3 linked regions of the Nothobranchius furzeri genome follow. The protein of the gene in region 3 interacts with the protein of the main gene of each other region in a pairwise test. Links are inferred from orthologs where the notes say so. Each region holds a gene or a part of one and is shown on either strand. Other genes may lie near its edges.

Region 1 (4,400 bases), on a different chromosome or scaffold from region 3:
CTTTTATGTACTTTAAATAAAAAAATTCAAACATGTAGAATATGAGAAGAACAAGCAATTCAAGCTGAAAAATAACCAGCTTTTCCCCAACGTCAATAAACTCACAGGGACGTGTGCAAAATGCACTTTTTGCATTTTTAGAGCTGCCATATGACTCTACTACCCCTACACATATCCAAACAAGGATAAAATCTGTGCTTTCACTTGTTGAGTTTGACTTCAGGTGTTATTCGTCTGAAATGAGCTGTTTCAAAAATTCCTTGTGCTTTTCTGTGTTTCTCTTCTATTTCCATGGGTTTTCTGTTCTTATTTTGTAAAGCGAAGCAAAATGTTTTTTCTTCTTTATCTTTTTTTTTTTTTTTTTTTTTTTTGCTGACAGGGCATCACAGTCGCCATCATCAGAGCTTCTGCGGTGTCGTCACTTCTGCTGTTAATCCCGGGCGGTGTGGAACGATGTCGCCCTCTACAGCCCGCACCTTCCCTGCCGATCACCACGTCCCATGAATGATCCAGCGTGTAAACTCCATCACTTTTCATGGCCCAGAGTCCACGTTTACCAATCTCAATCGCTTCGTTTAGGCATCTTCAGTGGATAAACAGCGGAAGTGACGCCGCCAGAATGGCGAATCTCTGCAACGCCGAAACTTTCAGCAGGTAACGTAAAAAAACAAAACTTTGCTACTCTGTGTGCAAGATAAGAACAGAAAAAACTATTTTTCAAAAAATTCTATATTGTGACATCACAAATAAAATTATCATAGAATCCCTTCAACTTCAGATGCTGGATGACCTCCTCCAACGGCAACCAATCAGGGACCAGAAACTGTTTTGCTTAAAGTGAAAGAACGGCTCATTCTAGAAAGTACTTAAAAAGCTGCTCACTTTATGCGAGACTAGTTTTGAGCAAGGAGCTTAATTATATAGTTTTGTATTTACTCTAGAGTAGGCGTGTCCAGTGTGGCTCGGGGGGCATTTACGGCCCTCCAAGCGATTTTGTAAGGCCTCCATTTGAATTTTTAGAATGATGAATTTTGTCTTTCCATGTGGAATGTAACCCACTTTCTAACATGTTTGTGTTGAGATTTTTACTTATTAGCCTATTTTGGGTTCATTTTGAAGAGCACAAATAAGAAAAATTGCCACAAAATAATGCTTGCAATTTTTTATGAAGAAACCTACATTCTTGTGGCCCCCAGTGACTTTAAACAGCCATTTTAGCCCTCGCCTTGAAAAGTTTGGACATCCCTGGTCTAGAGAGTAAAATAAAAACTCGCAGTTCCCCTTTAAATGATCTGCTATCGTTGGTGTGTTCTTGCTGTGTTTAGTTTCAAATTCTATCTTTCAGTTCTTTTTAAAGCACGATATGCTATGTGCGTGTAAACAGTGGTCACGCACGAATTCAGCTATTTCCGACAGACTTGAAGGCAGCACCAAAGCAGGAAGTGCGTGACGCGTTTTACCGCTTGTTTCGCTGTGGTAACAAAGCACGTTTTGGTTATTTTTAAACCCAGATTTGTCAGGTTCAAAATTTGAGACAATTTATAAAACAAAACCACTTCACTCGCCTGAACCCTCTGGAACATGGAGGCGGAGAAAGAGGACGAAGAAGACGCGTCTCCTGAAGAGTTTGTGGCTTTGTCTGATTTCTCAGGAAGTGGCTCCGAGCAGGTTAGAGGCAAACAAACAGCGGTTCAGCCACAGAACACACTCACTTCATCACTTGTGTCCCGCAGCTTAGTTTCAGCTCAGGGGACAAGCTGCTTGTTCACGCCAAACCTTCTGCAGCCTGGTGGTGGGCGGAGGTCCGTGGGGTCATAGGGTATGTCCCTGCCAGCTACCTGCGCCAGGACACAGCTGAGGAGGAAGACACCTCTATAGAAGACCCCTGGCAGGATGAAGAGTACTTTGGGAGCTATGGAACACTGGTCAGAAACATCAAACATTTATCCTATGAAACTTTAGGTCGGTTTGCATGATTAAAGCAACACTTGTGCATTTAGAATGTGTAGAAGCTGCAATATCTTCATAAGTTTAGCCTGAATTTGAGCTCTACACTATATCATGTCAGGTTTTGACTGTAAAGCACACAAAAACTTAAAAAGTACAATACTTGAGAAATAATAGTGAAATGGCACACCCACAGAGAAAATATCCCATCTGTTGTTCCTTAGATGATTATGTCATTCTTAAATTTTATTTATTTAATTTTTTTGCAGAATCTGCTTAGTTTGGGGTTTATTTTTACATCCAGGAATGCTGCTGAAGTTAAAAAAATAAATAAAGTGTTAGTCTCCTGAGGCAGCAGTGTGTGTGGCCTGTTCTCCACCTAAATCCTAATCTCTAACCTCCGTAGAGACTTTACTGATGTTGTCTCAGTAGCATTGAAGCATATGAGTTTGCGGCGGATTCAAAAATACTTTAATGCCATTAAAATAAAAGAAACATTAATACGTGTTTTTGAGTTTTTGACAAAATTCAAGCTTTGTTAATAACAACACCGGAAATCGATAATGAGATTCTGCCACTGTTCTGTTCATTAGAGGAGATTTCTTGTCCTCGTCATTCATGCATGTTATGTGTTCATTTTGTGGGGGCTAGGAATAGATATTTACCTCAACAAATCTTTAATAATTAAGAGGTTATTTGCAGGTTTATTATGGATTTGTTGTGCAGAGATTTCTGCACATAGTCAGAAAGAGTGCAGCACCATTAAAAAGTCACATTAGCCTCCTCTGTTCTTTACGACTGCAGGGACTAGAGGACTGGTCCTGCAGATCTTTTGTATTTCTGAAAATCGTATCGTGACTGTGATTTTCCTCTGCAGAGAAAACAGACCATTAAATGGAATATATTTGCTGGAGTGTTGTGTGCACAGCGTTATGGATTCAAGTCAAAAACTGAAAAAGCGTTTGGAATAGAACAAAGGGGCTTATTACAAATCTTGTTTCCTGCCTCAGAACCATGAACGGCATCAGGAACTGAACAGTTTACAGCACGGTGAGGCTGCTGATGTTTCAGACTTAGTCAAAGTTGTGGATTCTAATTTGCACCTCGGTCAGGTAAAGGATCAATGAGCCAAAGCGACCACGTCAGCATATTCAATAAAGCAACCTAGCTGCCCTTGTGCTCACGTCCACTTATTAATCACCTTCTGCTACATAATTAAAACCTGTTGGGTTTGCTTTCACACCATCAACCACACATGTGTTTTATGTTGCTACTTTTCATCTGTTAGCGGGAGTGATTGGGAGCACGGTTTCTGATGGTTCTGATATATTTTCACCCCTCCATGTCATCATGTTAAATTCAGTTTATCTCTTACGATGCAGAAGCTTCACCTAGAGATGTTGTCGGACAGGAGCCGCACCGAGACGTACCGGCAGGTTGTTCTCCGCAACAGTGCCTCCCTGAAGAACAAGGCGGTGATGGACCTCGGCTGTGGAACCGGCATCATCAGCTTGTTCTGCGCTCAGTTGGCGCAACCGTCAGTGGTAATTGTGACACTGAAATTCAACCATGTCGGCTTAAATGAATGTTCAGTTAGCATTAAAGTATGCAAGTGTCTCCTGAATGATTATTATTCTATGATTCCATATATTCAGAGTAAAGATCTCTTTATATATCATACAAAGTAAAATTTTAACTTGATGCCTTTAAGGTTTTAATTAAAAAAAAGACAAATTGGAAAGAAACAGTCACTAAGTGGTTCAGGTCAACTTTATGTTGAACAGTTTGGTTAGAGCGCCATCTGGTGGACAAACACTATTTCTACAGGACTGAACCCTTTGGTTTGAACAGCTTCGTGTTTCTAAGGTAGCCTGGCCTGCCAGACTCACCCTCTGTCTATTCTACAACATGCCAATGCTTCCCATAAGGAAGGCTGGCCAGGCTATTTAAAGGTGCAGTGGATGTTGTAGGAAACGGACGTTCAAATGAGCTACATTAAAAAAAAACAGGTTCAACCCCTTTTTCTGCAGACCCCCCTGGAGTCATAGAAAATGTTCTAACACCAGACCATACGAATGCCGTCCAACAACGATAAAAGTCTTTTCAACTTGTTGTTGGCACCTTTTCTGCCATTTTTTTAAATAGTGTAACGCATCGTAACCATGTAACATGTGGGAGGTGGAAGAAGTGGTCAGTTACTGATTTGAGGTCGCTGGTTCAAACCCTGCTCCCACCAACCTGTCGTCGTGTCCGTGGGCAAGACACGTCACACTTGTTGCGTACTTGTGTTGATCAGAGAACCCGGTGGCCTAGCTTCTGTCGGGTTGCCCCAGGGCAGCTGTGGCTACAGTGTAGCTCATCACCACCAGTGTTTGAATGTGAGCATAAAGCGCCCTGGAGTCAGTAGATGATTCAAAGCGCTGTACAAAATCAGACCATTTACCATTATTAGA
Region 2 (4,279 bases), on a different chromosome or scaffold from region 3:
CTATTGAAGACCACTGCTTTAAACAGAATTGTTTCTTCTATGGTTCTTTCGAGAAAGAAAGAAAATTATCTTTCATTTAGCGCCTCTCAAGATAAAAATCATGAGGTGCTTCACAAAAACTAACAATTTTACATACATAAAATATTTTTAAAAAACAATTACAAAATTTTTTTTAAATTACAATAAATTTAAAAACTGCGAGGAAAGGGAGAGAAAATGAATAGGAAAGAGGAGAAACATTAAGTAATTCCAGGAGGACTTAACCCCTGACTTGCTGCTGGAAAATAACCAGATAATTCCATGTCATGTGATACGGATGGCAGTGAATGTGTCTCAAAAGTAGGGCTGGGCGATTTGGCCTAAAATCAATATCACGATATATTGAGGATTTCTCCTCGATAACGATACATTTTCGGTTTATTGCACAGCCCTACTCAAACTCTTGTTTTAACGCCCCCTATTGGGGACCTCTACAGTTTCATGTCCCAAACATCTACAACTGTCCACATTCTCCAAACAACTAAAACCACAATCAAACAGCCCAGATGGGAAACAAGGCCATTTTAAATTGTAATAAATTAAGATACAATGATATTTGAACTTTTAGAAAAGCGTCTGGCCTTCACTGGTGTCTGCTGCAAAAAACGATTGAACAAACTTAGTTGAGGACCCCTGGAATAAATAAAATAAGACTAAATTTCTGAAATCGAATTTGAACTCACAACCTCCACCCTGTCACACAGCCCTCCTCTTCTAAAATTAAGTTCAAGTATTATTTTATCTTAATTTATCAAAATCCAAAAATTGCTTTGTTTAAAATCGAAACTGTTTTGATTGTAGCTGTACTCGGGGAATGCAAACAATCACTGACATTTGGGACATGAAACTCCAAAGGCCTCCAATTGGGAGGCGCCAGGGCCCAAAGAGTTAATTCTAAAGATTGGTGCTGTTTGCAGATAACAACACACTTCAGTAGCTCCAAGACTAGCCATTAGCTCATCAGTCCAGTCAGACTTAAACTTTATTTCTCCCAACAGAGGCTTTTCTAGAAGCTCTTTAGAAAAAATAGTAAATATTTATGTATTTCACCTGCTTCAAAAAGGCAGAAAAAATAATTTTTTTAAAGTTGGCTGAACTAAGAGTTGTTTAATAAATTTGTGAGTGAGTGGTCGTACCTTTGTCTGGTTCTGAAGTTGCTGTTGAAGAGGAGGCTGTTCAGAAGTTCCCATAGGCAGCTCAAACCGGGGGCTGCAGGAAAACATCTCAGTAAATTTTACATCTTTGATTGTGTTATTTCAGAATCTCCTAACCCAAAAATCCACTTTTACTAAATAAAAACTGGATCTTAAACAGGTAATTTATGTAAAAAATCAAATAAAACAAATGACTTACTGCATAAATTTACAGGACTTTCCTTCTGGACAGAAACCCACCAGGTAGTTCACACAGATCACCCTTCTTGTGTGTCTGTGTCTGCAGTCAGGCCCTGAACACACAAACATCCAGAAGCCGTTTGAAGAAAGAGCAGAAAAAGAGTTTTTCTCACCCACATGCCGGATCTTACCGTGTTTACAGAAGCCTCGGTCGTACCATGGACAGTCTTTGATCTTAGACTCTGGATCAATGTGCAGGAAGGGACATTCCTTATTGCTACACTCACCTGGGGGTCAACACATATAAGAAATAAAATATTCAGAGCCTTGAAGACAAGTGTTGAGTGGTTAAGAGGCACAAGAGCCACACTTAGAATTCATTTAATGTGTTAAAGATAAAGAGAAAGTCAACTAACCAAACTTTGAGTAGAAGTAGCATTCAGGCATCTTTGTCATGTCATACTCATGGAGAAACTCGCACTGGTCTCCTTTCTTACACAGTCCTCTGAGCCAGTGTTTACACACCACCGTCTTCTCTCCGCTGATGTGACGGAACGGACACATCCCACCTGAATCACATTCACAGTTACAACATTCATCTCATTTGAACAACTGCAAAGTCGGGTTGTTGCAGAGCTACAAAAACAAGAGTCAGAAGAAATCAAGTCAAAATACTTTCTCCTCTTTTGTCATACAAATCAAATCTTTTATGTTAATGTCACTACAAGGAAGAGCGAGATCAGAAGCGGTGGTTGACTCTGTGTTTGGCATAAAAATAGAAGTGAGAATCATAAGTAACATAAAAATGTGACAAAGAGTAACAATAAACACTTTATAAATAGAAAAGGTCTGTTTATGAAAAGATTGCACCGGTTTAGCTATAGTCTCTATTGCACACTAGAAAGAATTTTATTAGGAATTCAGAACCATGATGCGGAGACAACCAGTGAGTGGAGGGTTACCAATACATTTTATTTAGAATTGTAAAGCTTTGATGAACGTTTCAGATTAAAATAAAATAAGCAGCATTTGTGTGTCTAATGGAAACACACATGGACCCGTGACCAACAACAAAACGAAGTAAAAACTACTGAAATTATATTTTTTTACCTTTCATGCAGGTTCCTCTGGTGAAGTACTCACACACAGCTGACCCTGACTCTACAGGGGGACACATTAGCACAGAACTGATTAACACAAGCATGTGTGTACCTGCCGTTAGCTCTCTCATTAGGGTTCATTCAGATAAAGCGGCTAATAGCAGGTAGCATCCCTACACTTACTGTCCATGCCGGGGAAAGGCAGAGGCTGCGCTCCCAGCTGCTGCTCCATAGCTAGTTCCAGATCGAACTTGATGTGATCCACGGTGGCCAACAAGTCCTGCATGTTTGCTTTGGTTTTCTGCCCTCAAGCCAAATAAGTTGTTTTCGCCTGTGCTAGCTTGAAATCGAACCTGTTAGCTTAGCTACCTCATCCGCACACTAACGAAAGCGTAGGCTAACGAAACTTGACGGTCAAACAGATTAACAAAATATAATTAGAAAACATGTAAATAAACTAAGTTTGTAGTTTTACTGCGTAAAAAAAAACTTCTGACCGTGGTTCAGGTCTGTCAGTTCCGTTTTAGTTATCGTTCTACTCGTTGCTCAGCGTGACGGTGTTGGCGCGCGCACAACGATCACCGAGCTGACGGATCTAGACTGAACTAATCGATAAACGAGGCCTTTCACGTTTCACTTGGAAAATGCTTGCCTCTTTATTTTTTATTTTTTATTTTTTTATTTTTGCTTTAATTTTTTGTTTCATGAAAAATGAGAAGAGTACTTATTGAGAAGAATATTATGAATTGTAAAATTATTTCCAGGATGAACCTTACTAGATTCCTATTTTATAGTGAGTTTTTTTTTCTGTTTTAAAATATGTAGTCATTTTTAATTTTCGTTTGTCTGTCACATAGTTTAAAATTTATTTGTTTGTACAATTTCGTAATTAAAATCACTACTGATCTGACGCTGGGTCTGTGACGTCACAGCTGAGTCTCTTCTCCCCCAGCATAGTTGCTACTTACCACATGGCCAGATTTGTGGTGGTTTTCTCCATATTTAATGTATCTTCTTTCATCCTGGAAGGATTTGCAGCTTGTCACCATTCTTTTTCTCATCTTCTCTGTGTCTGGTTCAATTACATAAATTTGGTGAGACAAGTATTTGTAGACCGTCCTCTACGTCATTTACACAAAACCTAAAGTAACTTTTGTCACCTGTCAAAAATAAACACTTTATTGGCATAAAATTGTATTTTTTAAATTCACAGACATCATATGTCAAAACAATGGCACATTTCAAACAGGATCAGAAAACAACTTATTGGCTCATACATTTTTTTGGAACTAGGGGGCCCACAAACTGACATGGAAGAGTAAGCAAGAGCACATAAAAAGTAATAAAAGAAGAAGAAGAAAATATCATTTCTATAGTGCCTCTCAAGATAAAAATCACGAGGCGCTTCACAAAAACAAAAAATGTAAAAATATAGAGTCCACCTTTAATCTTTTGAAAATGTTAAAAAAAGAGTTTAAAATAGGCAACAAAGATTTATTTTGATATTTACAACTGAGGCATTTCTCTGACATTCAGGTGAAACCACAACTAGCGGGAAACTGTAATGTGCTGGTTAAAATTATACTGAACTCGAAAAACCAATTGCCGTCCAAGGTAGTTTCTAAATTATACAGCTGTATTAAAAAATGTAATGGAAATAATTCACAATATGTAAAAACCAAATGGGAAAAGGATATGCAAAAGGAAATTTCAGAAGATGATTAGCATTCAATGTGCAAAACAAACTCAGCTCTACCAGCTCCAGGAACTGGTGAGAATCCGGATGGAAGAACTTAGTACTAGGGA
Region 3 (4,244 bases):
TCATCCATTAAAACTGATTGATCAAGTTTTTTGTTTTAAATTAGATCTTCTTTCCCTTTCTTGCTTCACATTTGGCTTTTTTTGTTCATGTCGAAATAAAGAGGCAGAAAAAAATGACAAAAGTGCTGAAATGGGAGTCGTTTTTAAAACACGATTAAAGCCTACGGGTATTGTGGTGCTCCAGTTTTTATGTCACCGATGGTCACACGGACATCGTCGTCGTCGTCATCGCTGTCGCTGTCACTGTCCACATCCTCACCGGCAGCTTCCCCTGTGGCCTGAGAGTTCAGACAAAACAAGCAAATGAGATAAAAGATCATCATCGATCAGAAAACAAACACAAAAAGGACAAAAATATAAGAAATGCAAAGATTACCTACCTCAGAGGCCACGCCGTTTCCTGTAGCCTCTGCAACAGCCTCTTCTGTTGTTATGTCAGTGGGTAAGCTGTTGGTTAAATGTACAAACACTTTGTTGTTCAATCAGAATTCATACTGAAACCGCCCTCGTCGTGCTGTCATAGATGCTCAGTACACACAACAACCTATTGAGTCAGACATCTTTAGTTGTGGCAAATCAATCCATCAATCTTTATTTGTATAGCAGCTTCCACTGCCTTTGCAGGAGCCCAAGCTGCTGACATTAAATACAGTAAAAACACAGATAGCAATAAAAACGAGGTAAAAACAACATACAGACATAATCGCATACAACCAGGTCATATAAAAGCCAAATGATAAAAATGAGTCATCAAACGACTCTTAAAAACCTGCAGCAAAGGTGATCGTTTTATATCAAATGGAAGCTCATTCCAGAGAGAAGGAGCCAAGACTGAGAAAGTCCGATCCTAGGGTTGGGCATCGAGCATCGATTGGAACCGGGATCAACTGTTAAGTTTTTCCCGGAATCGTTCAAAGTTTTTATTTCGATTCCTAGAATGCCAACCAGAAGAATCCGCGACCGACCTCCGTGAAAAATAAACGTGATCTGCAAATTGTGATCAACACTTTTCAGAGCTGATCACAGCAGCTGTCTGTGTGCAGCACCGAGCCCCCCCCCCGGATATAAACAAACACGTCCACCGAACTTTTACTCCGTAATGTAACTTTAACTCCTGCAGCGTAGAGGAAACTTGTTAAATACGTCAACACGGTGGATTTAATAGAAGCTTTAAAGAACAAACTCTGCAGAAATAACACACACGGAGCGTCAGCCGCTCAACAACACTCTGTGTGTGTGTGTGTGTGTGTGTGTGTGTGTGTGTGTGTGTGTGTGTGTGTGTGTGTGTGTGTGTGTGTGTGTGAGCGTGAGCATCAGAAGGCTGAACAATAACCTGTAGAATAATTAAAGTCATCATGCTAGAGCAGCTTCTCCGTGGTGGACCACACCAGCTTCTGCCACAATAAATAATTATAATAATAATAATAATAATAAATCACACACAAAGTTGTGAAATTTCCTTTCTGAACTATTTCTGTTGAGTTTTAATGTTTAAATCTGTTAGATTGTTACTGACAGCAGCTACGTTTAAGTTTCACTTCCTGTTCTGACTGAATGCTGCTGCAGCATGGAGGTGTGGTTCTCAGTCATCCTGGACATGATCATCCTGAGAGCTTCAGCTGAAGACAGCTGGACGTTTCTGGATATGTTGGAGACATTTAGCCTCTCATCCTAGAGGCTTCTTCCAGACTTTGGTTGTGGTCAGAAACAAACACACTGGTTGTGCTGCAAGTCTTTTTCTTTTGTTCTCCAAAACATGTTTTTGTCTAAATGAAGGTGATGTTGTTGTTCATAGAATTAAAAATCATGTTGAGGTTAAGATAATTTCATCAAGTAGGACCTGTGGTTAGCTGGCTCATGTAAAACATGTCATGTCTTGAAAGAATCGGAATCAACAGGAACCGGAATCAAAACGAGGAATTGAAATTGGAATTGTTCAAAATCAAACGATGCCCAACCCTACCAATCACCTCTAGACCTGTACCTAGTTTGTGGGACAGTCAGTAGCTCCAGCTCAGCCGAACGTAGAGGCTGTGATGGGGTACGTCTTTTTTTATTAATGCTGCCAAGTAAGGTGGAGCACCACCATAAAGAGACTGAAGACATAGCACATAACTTTAAACTTAGCCCGAAAACCTACAGGGAGCCAATGTAATAAGACCAGCACAGGAGTGATGTGTGCCGACCTCCTTGTCCCTGTCAGAAATTTGGCCACAAAGTTCTGAACCAACTGTAGACGACTCAGTGCTGCCTGGCTTAGCCCAAATCCACCAACCAGCACCTCTCCGCTTGTATTTATGCCCGGATTTTTGTTTTATCCTCGTTTAAAACTATTGTGTGAGTTTTAAGCAAGTCTAATGTTTTACAGATCATTAGATTAAAGGTGGTGGGAGTGGTTGTTACCTGGTAGCAGCGATCAGTTTGGCTTCTTCCTCCTCTTCTTTACTTTCTGATTCATCTAAAACATAAACATGAAACTTTTAGCCCTTTAATAATAAGCACTTCGTGTAAAGTTTTACCTGTTGAGTCATTGGGATTTTACTTCATTTAATCACAGTGAAAACAGTGAACTAAATAGATGACTGTCTGTGTTATGCGTCTTTAACTTTGTTCAAAAGCATGCCGCTGTTGCTGAAGGCCGACACACGAGCGGTGCTAGTTAGCTTATCGGCTAATGCTCCCATCTCCTCATTACTCGTAGATAAATCGTCATAGACAGAGCATCAAACATATTTATATCTGTATGTGTCGGCGTGGAGATGCGGTGTTGGATTGTTATTTTACCTCCATAGAGCCATTCTTCCTCTTCATCACCTGCGCTGGCATCTGTGGTGGTCGTTTTGTCCGCTTCCTCCGCAGACATCTTCAGCCAAAACCACTCGCTGCTCCAACAGCTAACAGCAGCAACAATGTGTAAAATTTCAATAATATAAGCACAATCTAACCCTTACAGGGAAGAACTTTGATAAATTATGTATCTATTACTTCATAGAATCATATTCAACCCCTTTGCAAATGTGTATGAACCCGGAAGTGATTGAGGATTCTTGAATCCCGCTAAGGTCGGAGTATGGAGTGGAACCGAGCGCGCCCCCTGTTGGACAAAAGAGGCACCGTTTACAGTACTCCCAGGTACAAGTTGGTCGATTATTATGCTGTATAAAATTAAATTAAATACATTTAAATGCAAATTTACGTAGCTTAAAAAGTGCAAATGTTCATCTGAATCAGAATCAAAATGAGAATAGTGTTTTATTGCCAGAGGCCCTAATAGGGTTTGATGTGTAGAATAATTTATAGCCTATAAGAGATAAATAAATTGATATTAAGGCAGATTTAAACTCTCAAAGGCACAATGCGTCATGTAATCACTTTTTACTATGTAAAAACACGCCAATTAATTATGAGCAACAAATTAAAAAATAACTTGATAAAACTGGAACAAAATTTATTTCCATGTATCTACATTTTACATTTAATTTAATAACAAAACAGATATTTTATGTTTTCTCTTAACGTAGTATGGTGACGTTCAGTGTCACACCACTTTACCACTACAGGAGGACGAGAGTTTTCTTTTTACTTACACACATTAAATATACTTAATTTGATCTGAGTGCTCCAGCCGCCTTTTTCTACTTCTCAGTTGTCAGTGCCAGCTGTTGAGCGCTGGCTGTCATTTGAATGATGTGCAGTGTGCCTATTTATTTCTTTTATGAAATATGTTTTACAAATAAAACTTGATACTGTAACTATCTAGAACAAAAGTTAAAGCTTCTTAAGGGAAAAATTTTCCTTCAATATTGAGAAAAAAATCCTAATGAAATTTTGATTAAATGTTGCGTAAGACCACTTTTTGTCAATATTCTTTTGAGAATTGTGTTCATTCATTAAACGGCACTCACAAATGTGTCTAAAAACTAAAAAATTGTTAATTGTTTAGAACCATACGTAAAACTTGCTCAGTGAAAATTCATGCCCATAATTAGAAATAAATCTTGGTGAACTTTTGACAAGAAGTTGATTGTAATATCGACTGAACAGATTTCTTTTAGTTAATTGCCGTCATCCATCAGATAACACTTACTATAAGCCAGAATTATGTTTTTAAAACAAAAAATTACTCATTTAGAGCCAAAGTTAATAACTATTACGAGTGGTAAAAATAGTGTACATTTAACCCAAATACTGGAAAAAATATTTATGCATTTTTGTAATGTCATTTCATCACCACAAGAGGCTGA

What was found.
Region 1: the proteins of fip1l1b (region 3) and prmt2 interact in a two-hybrid assay, tested with the Homo sapiens proteins (2 studies listed by BioGRID and IntAct). The link is inferred for Nothobranchius furzeri from reciprocal best matches to the Homo sapiens genes FIP1L1 and PRMT2.
Region 2: the proteins of fip1l1b (region 3) and cpsf4 interact in binary tests that used the Homo sapiens proteins (3 or more experiments, as listed by UniProt). The two-hybrid records come from large-scale screens. The link is inferred for Nothobranchius furzeri from reciprocal best matches to the Homo sapiens genes FIP1L1 and CPSF4.

The regions. Positions count from the first base shown.
Region 1 is NC_091754.1:17,486,685-17,491,084, forward strand, and holds the start of prmt2 (protein arginine N-methyltransferase 2), read left to right. Parts: upstream 1-1,531; 5' UTR 1,532-1,581; coding exon 1,582-1,668; exon of another isoform or gene 1,669-1,701; intron 1,702-1,733; coding exon 1,734-1,925; intron 1,926-3,329; coding exon 3,330-3,491; intron 3,492-4,400. UniProt on the Homo sapiens protein: Arginine methyltransferase that methylates the guanidino nitrogens of arginyl residues in proteins such as STAT3, FBL, histone H4. Acts as a coactivator (with NCOA2) of the androgen receptor (AR)-mediated transactivation.
Region 2 is NC_091752.1:65,592,085-65,596,363, forward strand, and holds the start of cpsf4 (cleavage and polyadenylation specificity factor subunit 4), read right to left. Parts: upstream 3,062-4,279; 5' UTR 2,760-3,061; coding exon 2,657-2,759; intron 2,535-2,656; coding exon 2,484-2,534; intron 1,943-2,483; coding exon 1,790-1,942; intron 1,661-1,789; coding exon 1,565-1,660; intron 1,487-1,564; coding exon 1,393-1,486; intron 1,249-1,392; coding exon 1,176-1,248; intron 1-1,175. UniProt on the Homo sapiens protein: Component of the cleavage and polyadenylation specificity factor (CPSF) complex that play a key role in pre-mRNA 3'-end formation, recognizing the AAUAAA signal sequence and interacting with poly(A) polymerase and other factors to bring about cleavage and poly(A) addition.
Region 3 is NC_091747.1:75,989,692-75,993,935, forward strand, and holds the start of fip1l1b (pre-mRNA 3'-end-processing factor FIP1), read right to left. Parts: upstream 3,019-4,244; 5' UTR 2,864-3,018; coding exon 2,785-2,863; intron 2,459-2,784; coding exon 2,404-2,458; intron 448-2,403; coding exon 381-447; intron 279-380; coding exon 166-278; intron 1-165.